Linked DNA regions of Drosophila melanogaster. The protein of the gene in region 3 interacts with the protein of the main gene of each other region in a pairwise test. Each region holds a gene or a part of one and is shown on either strand. Other genes may lie near its edges. The genes, in order: CG10949, CG14110 and CG9948.

What was found.
Region 1: the proteins of CG9948 (region 3) and CG10949 interact in a two-hybrid assay, tested with the Drosophila melanogaster proteins (one large-scale study listed by BioGRID).
Region 2: the proteins of CG9948 (region 3) and CG14110 interact in a two-hybrid assay, tested with the Drosophila melanogaster proteins (one large-scale study listed by BioGRID).

What each region holds. Positions count from the first base shown.
Region 1 is NT_033779.5:20,414,610-20,418,817, forward strand, and holds CG10949 (uncharacterized protein), read right to left. Parts: upstream 2,310-4,208; 5' UTR 2,096-2,309; coding exon 1,555-2,095; intron 1,498-1,554; coding exon 659-1,497; 3' UTR 564-658; downstream 1-563. Other genes in the region: Arpc2 (Actin-related protein 2/3 complex, subunit 2), read left to right, coding at 2,985-3,058.
Region 2 is NT_037436.4:13,382,834-13,386,445, forward strand, and holds CG14110 (uncharacterized protein), read left to right. Parts: upstream 1-1,955; 5' UTR 1,956-1,977; coding exon 1,978-2,041; intron 2,042-2,093; coding exon 2,094-3,076; 3' UTR 3,077-3,092; downstream 3,093-3,612. Other genes in the region: ImpL1 (Ecdysone-inducible gene L1), read left to right, coding at 1-1,072.
Region 3 is NT_037436.4:6,954,338-6,958,026, forward strand, and holds CG9948 (uncharacterized protein), read left to right. Parts: upstream 1-1,653; 5' UTR 1,654-1,897; coding exon 1,898-2,060; intron 2,061-2,116; coding exon 2,117-2,610; 3' UTR 2,611-2,665; coding exon of another isoform or gene 2,666-2,947; 3' UTR 2,948-3,014; downstream 3,015-3,689. Other genes in the region: CG10077 (uncharacterized protein), read right to left, coding at 1-832, 1,044-1,051; Uqcc1 (Ubiquinol-cytochrome c reductase complex assembly factor 1), read right to left, coding at 2,666-2,947, 3,015-3,266, 3,326-3,514, 3,628-3,684.

The DNA.
Region 1 (4,208 bases), on a different chromosome or scaffold from region 3:
CAAGTTTATGCCCGAGAAGAACCATTCGCAGGCACTTAGCAGGCGCTCGCGTTTATTATCTTAATAATAATTTCAGAGTTCAGGCGGCGCTCTTTGACGCACAACTAGGGATTCCTGCTCGCATGAGAATGGGATTTGGATCGGTATCTCTGGGTCCCGACCAACTGCACCGTGCGAACCGGAGGCGGCAACTAAGCGAATCGAGAATCTGTTGGCACTCGCGCTTCCCAAGAGCCAAGTGCACGCCAAGCGATTTGTTTATCCATCTGCTGCGTACGCGCGAATTTGTTCGTTATTAATTGCAATAAATGGTGTCGGCGTGGGCGCTTTTATTTATTTCTGTTTTTTGTTTTTGGTCGGTATGAAATGTTTGTTTCTAATTTTCGCGTAACCGAAATATTTGAATAATTCAGCGCCCTCTGGTGGCGGGTAGCGTTTGATGGCGATGGTTGTGGTTACGCATTTCAATGCTTTTCAGCACTGGTAATTTAAACAACTCAATTTGAAATCTACAAATATTCAAACCTTTCTTTTTCAATATTGCCTTTTGAGCCACAATATTTAGTAAGTTTATTTATTTACAGATATTTTCATGCTTACACTTATGTAATAACCCTTCTTCGTAATACTTTTGCAGCTAATCTACAACATTCTAATTTCAGTTAATGACCTGACAAGGTGCCACATCCTCGATCTCCTCGCCATCGAGGGCTTTGATTTGGCACTGGCACAGGAACTGCACGATCTTACGCTCGGCACTTGCCCGCTCAGACGGACTCAGTCCGTCCAGCAGCATCTGAGCCTTGGCAAGCAGGCTGTTGGCAGGCTGTGTACTTCGCTGTTCTCGCTCCTGCTCCTGTTCGTGGTGAATCTGGGCCTGCAGCTCCCGGGATTGCTGAAGCACGGTCTCCATGTTGGCAATCACGGTGGTCAACAGTTTGTCGGAGATGGCGGCAGACGGTACAGAGTCCCCAGGGAGAGAGGAGGACTCCTCTACGACGGGATTTACCCTGGCGATTGTGTGAATTATTTCCTCACTGGTGGCCGGCGTGGTGGTGGTCACCTGGAGCTGCTGTGGTGGCTCCAAGTCCTGCCGTGCCGTCGCTTCGCTGAGGATAAAATCGTACGGCGTTGCTTGCTCCGCCTCCGATAGTATCTCAATCTCTTCATCGTAGGCCAACTCAAGATCATCCTCCAGATCGTCGTTGTCCGTACTGTAGGGGTAATCAGCGCCCCAGATTTGCTCACCACTGGAGATCACCATTCCCTCCGGCTGTTTGCTGGTCTTTCCCGAAGGATTTCCTGCTTTGGGTGGTCGTCCACGTCGCTTGATGTTCTCCAAAACCAGGGGCACTCCTTTGCGGAAGTGGCGGCCCAGAAAGAGAAGGTCGTTAAAGTACCTCCACGTGATGGGCGTGGACTGGTTGATCTGATGACTGCGGAACTCCCGCCCGAAACGATCACGCAGCTTCTTCCAGCGGTTGTAGCAAAGTTCCTCTATTGAAAATTATCGGCATTAAGGGCTGAAGATCAAGAGGGTTACCCCGAGCTCACCCGACACATTTAGGTTTTCAGAAATCTCTCGCCAGGCTTCGTTTTTCGCTGCTAGGTTCTTGGAGACTCTGATCTTGTGACGATCATACAGCACGGGATGAGACTTGACCAGCTCAATGAGCTGCTCGTTCAGCAGGTCATCCTGGGAGTCCTCCTCCTCCTCGTCCTTTCTCCGCCTCTCCTGCTCCATGTCCACTTTTGTGCGCTTTTTCCGCTCCCTGGGCTCAAAACGCATCCCGTCGAGACTCTCGTTCCTTGCCAGTCCCTGTTTGTAGTGATCCTTGAGAAAGAGCAGTCGCGGAAACATGTCCCAGTAGGTGGGCTCATCCGGACGCTCCTGGAAACGGCGAAACTCCTTGCCGAAACGATCGCGAATGCTCTTCCAGCGCGTAATGCACGCCCGTTCCGAGGCTCCTAACTTCTGGGAGATGGCCTTCCAGGCCGCGTCCTTTTGCGCCGCATTCTTCACGCTCCTCGCGCAGTCCTTGTCGTACAGGATCGGGTGTCTCTCTATCAATTTAATCAGCTCATCGTCGTCCATTGATTTTCGCTATTATTTGTTTTTATTTATTCTGAACGATCCGGCAGCCTGGCGGGAAATATTGATAGTCGATAGGCGATGGGTCATCGCACAAAAAGGGCTGCCAGATTATTCTGTTAAAAAAATGTGCCTCTTAGTTTTATAGCACCGTTATTATAACAATGTTAAATAAAATATTTGTGTGTTTGTCTTAAAATGTCTTAATACATATTTATAATTTAAAGTTCGTGTGTACGAATTTCGTTTAAAATATATTCTATTTTATATATTTTAAAGAAAATTCTCTTTATGTTTGTTAAAATCTGCTGGTTTGAATTTCTGTGTAACCTGATAACATTGATGGTCGATAGCTCGATACTTCAATCTTTCCATCGGTGAGTTTGCCCCATCTCTATTGTGCTACCTGGCAACGCTGTGAGCAAGGAAAATACGGCAGCGTGCTCCCCGTTTTCCATCCACGTTTTGTTATAATTTTATAAGTATTACGGTCTGAGACCGATTTTGCACTGCATCGTGCGCGCTGCAAGTACTGGCGATTGGAAATTGGAGGCGCGAAAAGAGGATAAGGTGGATTTTCTTGCAACTGTGTGTGTGAGCATTGGAATTCGCCCGTGTGTGTGGCGAGAGTGCGTCCATGTGTGTGTGACGGACCAAAAAAGCCGACATCAGCGCCCATTTTTTGTTGTTGATTCATTAATACGCCCGTCATGCACCAGTATTGGTGAGTTGGAGCAGCGCACCGTCTTACTCGCACTCAACGGAGCGCAGAAAGAGCGCAGGGAGCGGCAGAAGAAGAAGCAGCGAGCAGCAGCACCATTAGCGGCAGTCAACGTCATATAATTTGTCATCGAAATTGGCACACTAAAAATAACAGTTAACTTCAACCGCCATGATCCTGCTGGAAATCAATAATCGGATTATCGAGGAGACGCTGCTGGTCAAATACCGTAATGCCCAGGCTGGGTAAGTCAATGCCTTCCAGTCCCGTTTCCCCAATTTCCATTCCACCATTTTGATTTCTATGCTGCATTCCCCACCGTTCTGTTATCACCAGTCGGCTTTGTTATCAATTTCGTTAGCTCTCTCTTTCCTCGGGAATAAATTTGGGTGTAGTTCCAGCCTTGGAACACTCATCGCTGCAGCTCTCTCCCTCCCACACACGTACCCAAGTACAGTGCAGCCCCCTTACGTCGACAGCGTATTAGTTAATTCATTACAACTCGCTATTCGCATCATCGGTGCTGAAAATCTGCAAAACTGACTCATCCATTGACGTGCATTCAAACGCATACGCTTGTGATGATCGAAAATATTAGTATTTATTTGTTCCTAATCCCGAAAAAGGATATTATTATTGAAGAAACATTATCAAAGGAGTCGTGTTACGAAAGAAATATGTTTAAGCTAAACGGTTTAGAAGAAGCTTAGACGAAGCTTACAGACTAACAAAATTATTAAAATTAGTAAAATAACTTATTGTACTAACAGCACTATCAGCAGAAAGAGGTATTTGTGTTTGGTAGCGAATGATTAAGATCTCACATAAATAAATGTATTTAAATGCTAATAGTTATGATGCCATTAGTTTATTCCCGATAAGATTGCAGTGTAATGCCTGAAATTAAGGCAATAAAAGTTATAAATTGTGGAACAAAAGTGGCATACTTGGAAAAAATCTCCTGTTGTGTCTCAAATGTTCCAAAATAAACCAAAAGGACGAACGGCATCCTGAATAATCAATCATATTATAGCAGATGACTTGTGTTCGTGTACATAAAAACTAATAGTTTCAATATTACTCCCCTATTATCTGTATTCTTGGGAGACAAAGTTTACATGCTAAAGATTCTCCATTTTCCGTGTCTACAACGCTCCGATATAAATTGTAACGCTTAAATCATCTTGAGTAATTCTTTTTGTTTCTTAAGATAAATACTTTCGTGTACATTATTGCAAATTTTAGGCTTTGGAGCCAAAGTGGCATTCTTCAAAAACAATATTTGATCTGTGTCTCAAAAGCTCCAACATTAACTAGAAAGACGAACGGCATCCTGAATAATCAATCATATTATAACAGATGACTTGTGTTCGTGTACATTTGCCATAAAATGTT
Region 2 (3,612 bases), 6.4 Mb from region 3:
AGGTAAGTCTCGCATATCGAAGCTGACCAGTTCTGGAAGTCCCATAATTAACTGGTATGCGCCCATTTCCTTTTTAGCAGTAGCAGCTCTGCTGCTTTTGGAGGCGATTCCCGCGGATGCAAAGCGGCGCAAGCACAAGGGCTCCGATCATCACTATGAAAAGTCTGATCCCCACAAGACCAAGACAAAGACCAAGTGGTCTAGCTCCACGGATTTGGCTGGAAACACTCCAATTTCCACCGAAGAGCACGGCTACTATGTAAAGCGCACCTTTGCGGCTCCCGGTGAGATTGGAGCCGCACAGAAGCGTCTAAGTCCCCCCTATTTGGCCATTCCCATCGCCTGGTTCAGCTGTGAGTCGGGCCAGAAGAATTGCCAGTCTTCCAATTCCGCGGCTATCAACAGTGCCGCGCAGTCCTTGAGCGAGGGCTATCTGTGCGACGATGATTGCGATGAACTGTACGAGCCCATCTGCGGCAGGACCACCTCAGAGGTGGCCGTTTTCTACAACAAGTGCAAGTTGGGTGTAGCCAAGTGCCGATCCCACGGTCTTTGGACGGACTTCGCCTATGCCGAGTGCCAGGCGAAATATCCGCAGGAAACTGCCTATGCCGACAAGAAGTTCCGGTCATCGCCTTATTTCCGGGATGCGGCCATCGTGGAGCAATTGAAGCTGGAGGAGGAGAAGCGTAAGCAGGAGGAGGAACAACACAAGCTGGAGAAGGAGCAAAAGAAGAAGGAGAAGGCTGAGAAAAATAAGAACGAGAAGGACAGCAGCGAAAGCAGCGAGGAGAAGGATGACCAAAAGGAAAACAAGCAGAAGGATCCCCTTTCCCTAATGCCACAGAAGAAAGTGGAATCCACCCAGAAGCCAGTGCCAGTTCCTATTCAAGTAGCAGTTCCAAAACCAGTTTCAGTTTTGGAGCCTGCAAAGACGACCGAGGACATCGCTATGCCGCCTATGCCACTGAAGGACACTCCCACGCCCAAACCTCTGGAGATCGCGCCCCTTCACCAGCAGACCCAACCCAAGGGCAAGGACATTGATAGGCTCAAGTACCAAGTAGCTTAGAAAGCAATGGCTACACAAATCTCACCTAATTATAGTATTTATTTAATTTATTACAACAAATAAAATTCTAAACAACGATAATCATCTATATTTGATAAACAAAATGGGTTTTTTTTAAATACACGCTTTGTAGTTTAAACGTGTATTGGACTACAATTTTTATGGCTAACTTTAATGGTAACCCGACTTTTATATTGTCATAAAAATAAAAATCATAAGATCTGCTTAGCACTTTTATGTAGATATTTTATATGGGATCGAAACGCACTTTTATTTTCCCAAAGTCAGTAAGAGTGTCTTCTTAGTTCTTATGACTCCAGACCAGTTACACTATTTTTCAGATCCCTTGAGCATTTAATTACTGAAATAGGTGCATTGTACATTTACATAGCTATATCTTTGGAAAGACATTAATCGGGATCCAACATTTCTGTGACAAACTAGTATAACTCGAAGCAGATTTAGTAGCAAGGGGAAAGGTGTGTGCAAAATTTGTAATGGGAATGAATACACCTATGATTCTTAACGAACTCATTCTTGATAATTCTTTATGGCCTCTAAAGAACTTTGTGTGTTAAAGTAACGGGTATAACAACTTCAACTTTACATATATATCTTTCAATCAGATAATTTTCAAAACTTTCTTAGAGGCAAATTCACCTCTTTGTAATTAAATTGAGAAGAATTCTAAGGCGATGCAGTTGCATTGAATCAAGTGCATTGACCCCCAAAACAAGTTCTATAAACTGATTGATATCTGAAGCTTGAAAGGGCCATCATCCATTGCCAGGCACTAAACCTAAAAACTAATTGGGCGTGGGATGGACAATGCAACAGGTTGCGGCTGGGTTGCCTATAAAAGCAGCGGGATTTGTGTCACTTGTCACAGAAGTTGACCAACTGCAATGGGAGCCACTAGTGTCGGAGTTCCAGTCTGGAAGATTCAGCTACTGATTCTGCTGAGTGCAGGTGAGAATATTCTAAAAGTTGTAGCTTGTGGTATTTAGTTTTCCTCTCCTAGTTGTTCTCACCATTCAAGCTGCTCCTGTCGAGGTAACCGAAGGAGTGACCCAACCCCCAGCCGAGAAGCTGCAAACGGAGTCTCGTTCCCGTAAAGATGAAGAGCTGGAACTAGAAGAAGACCTGGATGGACGTAATGCCTATATCAACAATCAGTTTGTGCCAAGCGAACCTGCAGAAGTCCTAGAGGATGTGCAGAATACGCCGCTCTACGAGATCCTTCAAAAGCAGATGGAACAAGTGTTGGCCTCATCGGCTCCCAATGACCCTGTCTACGAGCAGCACCGCGAGAAGCAGGATCGTCGCGATCAGAAACCACCACACCAGCCACCGTACTTCTCCGGCGGAGATCGAGATGGTGATCTACAGGATGACTACGAGGACGAGGAGGATCAGACGGATCAGGGTTATCCGTCGGACCCCGAGAAACCGGACGCCGTGTCAGATGCTCCCGAGGATGAGGACCCAGGCTACCAGGCACCTTCGTTGAGCCTTCCAACCACCACCACTCGCAAACCGTACAGACGACGCAGCACAACCACTTTTCAGCCACGAACCACCAGGACAAGAACCACTGCTCAGCCCAGGATCTCGGAAAGTCCATTGAACCAAACCAGCACCACAGAGCAATCACCAAATGTGACCACCAGCACTCCACGGCCCAAGATTGGTTCCAGCACCAAACCCAAGGCAAATCCTCAGCCGGGAAACAGCCTGCCAAGTGACCCGCAGGTTTACCAGCACAAGCGTCGCATCATCTTCAAGACCATCTCAACGGGCTCGCAATTCGTCAACTCGCCAATTGGCGACCTAATGATCAAGTTCTCAATCGGATTTGCCAAGCCAACCACTCCGGGTGGAGCTACCAGCACTGCGGGTTCACATAGTTCGTCCAGTGAGGCTTTACGTGCTCTTTCGCAAAACTTAATTCGAAATTTTGAACTTCAAAAACTAAGAAGAGCCAATAAAGTGCAAAAATATTAGATATACATTATTAACGAAAACAAAACCACGGGTTTTCAATTGGATTCATGTTTTAATGTACTAACAACAATGGATTCGAAGACTTTATGAGTAGTAGCTATATTTCGAACAAAAGATATTTTTAAAACCCTCAGTTGAAGAACTTAATTCTATTCTATTACCTCAAATTCAAAAATTTCGAATTGTGTTATAGAAATTTCATGAATATTTTAATCACCACAACAGCAATTGCTTGTGCAATAAGCAAAACATTCGATTTGGAGCGAGGTCTGCTAAAATTATTCCAGCGGGAACCAATCATTGATCTCCAAATTGTTGAAAACAACTTGAGATGACGCCATAAGAATATACATAACCAAATCAGAAAATGTATTCCGTCACGTACGAGAATTTCGAGACAATGACAATAGATCCACATGTACGGTTCGTGTTTAGTAGAGTTAATACACAAAATGGAGGTGAACAGTCACAGTAACAACAACGTCATAATCCGTAAAGGAACATGGTTAGCTACCTTAGAGTAAATATAATCTAAC
Region 3 (3,689 bases):
GCCGCGCTCCAAATCCCTAGCCTGCTGTCCCTTGGGCGCTCCACCAAAGATGCAAGTGTTGCGCACATGCGTGTTGCTGCCAAACTCAATGGCTACCTGCTGGATCTGCTGGGCCAACTCTCTAGTGGGAGCCAGGACCAGGGCGATGGGTCCATCACCGCGCTCCAGGCGCGGCTGGTTATTGATGTGCACCACCGCCGGCAGAACATACGCCAAGGTCTTGCCCGATCCGGTCTGGGCCACGCCCACCAGATCCCGTCCACTCATAGCAATGGGCCAACCCTGGGCTTGAATGGCCGTTGGCTTGGCGAAACCCTGCTTACGGATCTCGTTCATCACGTAATCGGGAAAGCCGCCCTCCTCGAATTCAATACTGGGTGTGGGCACCTGATCGCCCTTGATGGTGATCTCATTGCTGGTGAGGAAGGTCTCTGTTTCACCGACAGTCCTGGCCAGCACCGAATCGCACGGCTTGTAAAAGTTCTTGCGGAATGGCGTAAGATTCACCTCAGACCAAACGATCTTGGGCAAGTGAGCGCCATGATTGGAAGAGCGCTGGCCCCCGTTCTGACCACCGAATCCATCCTGGTTGCGTGGTCCGCCGGGTCCCATGCTAGGACCACCACCGTTCATGCGTCGCTGTCCACCGTTGGCGGGTCCATGACCATTGAAACCTGGGTATGGGGCCGAGCGATTGCGCTGGAACATGCCCGCTCCGCCGGGTCCGCCACCGGGAGCACCACCGCCCATGCGATTGGGCACCATACCGCCGGCTAGGCCACCAGCTCCTCCGCCGCCACCGCCTCCGAAGGCGTTCATCTGTCCGTTGTACCTGCGACGAGCGTTTTGTGCCATAAAATTAGAATTTTGAGCCCTTTAATGCGTTGCCAAAATGTTGAAATTTACACGAAGCGACCTTTTTTTATGTAATTTTCATTTTTTACTGCCATTTTGAATTTATTGATTTTCGACACTCGGCCCCTGGCCGCATGCTAAACCGAAATTTGGGCTTAAAAAATGTGTGCCTGTGTTTCAATACTCACATGTTCATTGCTGGTGTGATGTAAGTGGAAATATAGCTGGCCAAAGTATAGTTTTTTCGGTCACTTTTACAATTTTTCACTCCACAATTTTTTCAGCTTCTACGTCGTCAATAGAGCTGTGGAAAAAATCGGTGTTAATATCGATTGGTTCGATAGGTTAGGTTTTCTGGAAACATCGATTGAATTTTCTAGAAACGATCACAACGAATAGGGAAAAATGTCAAAATATTTGTTAGTAGGAAACTTTTAATATATAAATAATTATTGTGAACGTTTCTAATAATAACAAATTAAATAAAAATAATAACTGAAAAGAATATGGAACACTATTAAGAGCACTTTAGAGCACTATGGTTGCTAGTTTGTAGTTACTTCGTTGTCTAACCAGTATTTTTTTAATGCGGCACCGGTAATTAACAATAAGAACTATTAATTTTTTAAGCAAAACAAAGACGTCTGATATTGTTTGTCTGGAACCTATCGGGTAAAGCAACTTCGATAATAATGGTCAGCAAGAAAAATGTGACCAGCCTATAGAACGACCCAAAAACCAAAGTGTGGACATAAATTGGAATATTACAGTGATCGCTCAATGTAGTTAACCTGTAAATTTCTATCTGTAAAGTAATAACTAATAAACAAGGTTCTAATAATGCAGTTAAAATATAATTTATTATTATGTAATTTCCCTTCATTTGTTAAGTATCTTAAGCCCGCAATTATGACATACAATACGTGCCAAATGGTTTTCGCTTAATCGTAGCTCTGCTGTACTTCATAAGGTAAATAAACATGGCTCAAGCAAGGGATTCTTAATTATCAAGTTCAAGCTAGTTTAATTCAATTTGGTAGCCATGCGCACCAGTTACAAGAAAAACAGACCTTTCGACTTCAAGCTAATTGATCTGGTGGAACCCAATCCTGTGCTCTATAAGAGATCTGGACTCTCGAACTACGATGCCATGAAGGCGAAAACCGATATCTGGGCTCGCATAGCCGAGATGATGGGCTGTGATGGTAAGTCAGCTAATAAAAGAATAAGATATATATATTTAAAGTTATAATCCTCTTAGTGGACTTCTGCCTGATGCGCTGGAACAATCTGCACTATCAGTTTCGCAAGGAGTTTCGCCGCGCGGACACCAGTGGATCCACCTGGCCGTACCTGGAACGCCTGCGATTTTTGGCCGAGATCCAGCCGCCCTCCAAAGTGAAAACCAAACCCAAAACAAACAAACAGGAGGCGACCATCCAGACGGAAACTCCTGTGCAATTTTTGTGGGACACTTTTGAGGATGGGGATGTTCCACAGCAGTCGAGTACGTTCATAATCGAGGAGGTCATCGAGGAGCCCAGTGAACAGATCATCCAAGAGGAAATCATCTACGAGGAACAAGAGCCCGCTGAAATAATCTCGCCCAGAAGCAGCTTTCTCCAGATGGACCAAATACTGGCCCAACTAAAGGAACCGCAGCGGAGAAGGGCAGAACGAAGGATTACAGCATTTCTGCTCAAGTGCCAGCTGCGTGCCTTGAGTAATCAGTCCGTGGAGGACCTTAGCATCTAGTTTCCAGTTCACATACTCTCAAACTTTATTTTTAAAAAACAGAATATAACTAAGATTAAACCTTGCACTTGTCCAATTCCAACCATGCCACTTTCGGCTTGACAATGAACTGATCGCGCGGCAAACTGTCCAGCATGCTGGCCTGCTGGCGGACGTACTTCACCAGTCGCTCGATCTGCGCGTAATCATCACAGTTCATCTCGAAGAAGCGGCGCCACAAGGCGCAGGCCAAAACCCGATCGTCGGACATGATGCCCTCGTCGTAGGCGATTAGGGCCGCTTGGAACTGCTCGGATAAGGTCTCGATTTGCTGACGGGTGCGTGAAGGATTGTGAGCCTGTTGGGAAACACATATGAAGAGCATAAAGATTATATATATAAAGGTGAACTAAAGTAAAACCTACTCCCAATTTCTTGGCGCGTGTGTTAACATCTCCCCACATCGCCTCCACAATGCAGTTGCGCAGGAAGCGTCCATCCTCGCCCGTTTCGGAGCCCTCGGCCATGGAGCGCATCAGGAGTAGCCAAACATGCAGTTCGGTGACCAAGAACCAGGAGTTAAAGGTATTGGGCAGATTGAAGTCGCGGAAAAAGGTCACATAGTTGATCTTGTCGGCGACGCTTTCGTACAGCAGATGACTGGTTACCTTGAGGCGCTGAAATGGGATCACTTCGATGAATATTAATCAAATGGGCAAAGTAATCCGAGTCCTACCGCCTTTGTGTTCGGTGTGAAGCCCACTTTGTTGAGCACTCTCTTCAGAATACCGCCTTCTGCGGCTTCCGCTGTGCCGGGTTTCGTTTTATTGGTATTATCCACAACGCCGGTGGATGAACACAAGCGGCATGGCTGCTCCAGCAGTCCCAGTATCGCTGGCCTGTGCTTATACGTATGTTGTGTTGCCTATAATATGTTTAATTTAAAAATTTTATATCCGTTTATATAAGAGTTGATGGCGGTGCATTCGGATGACCGTGTTTTGACTAAATAAAGTACAACCCCTGCTTTAAACATACCCATGCGGTTCTCGCTAGGCCGCCGGCCAGTCTTGCAACTGCACGAGTGCACTGCATTCTTA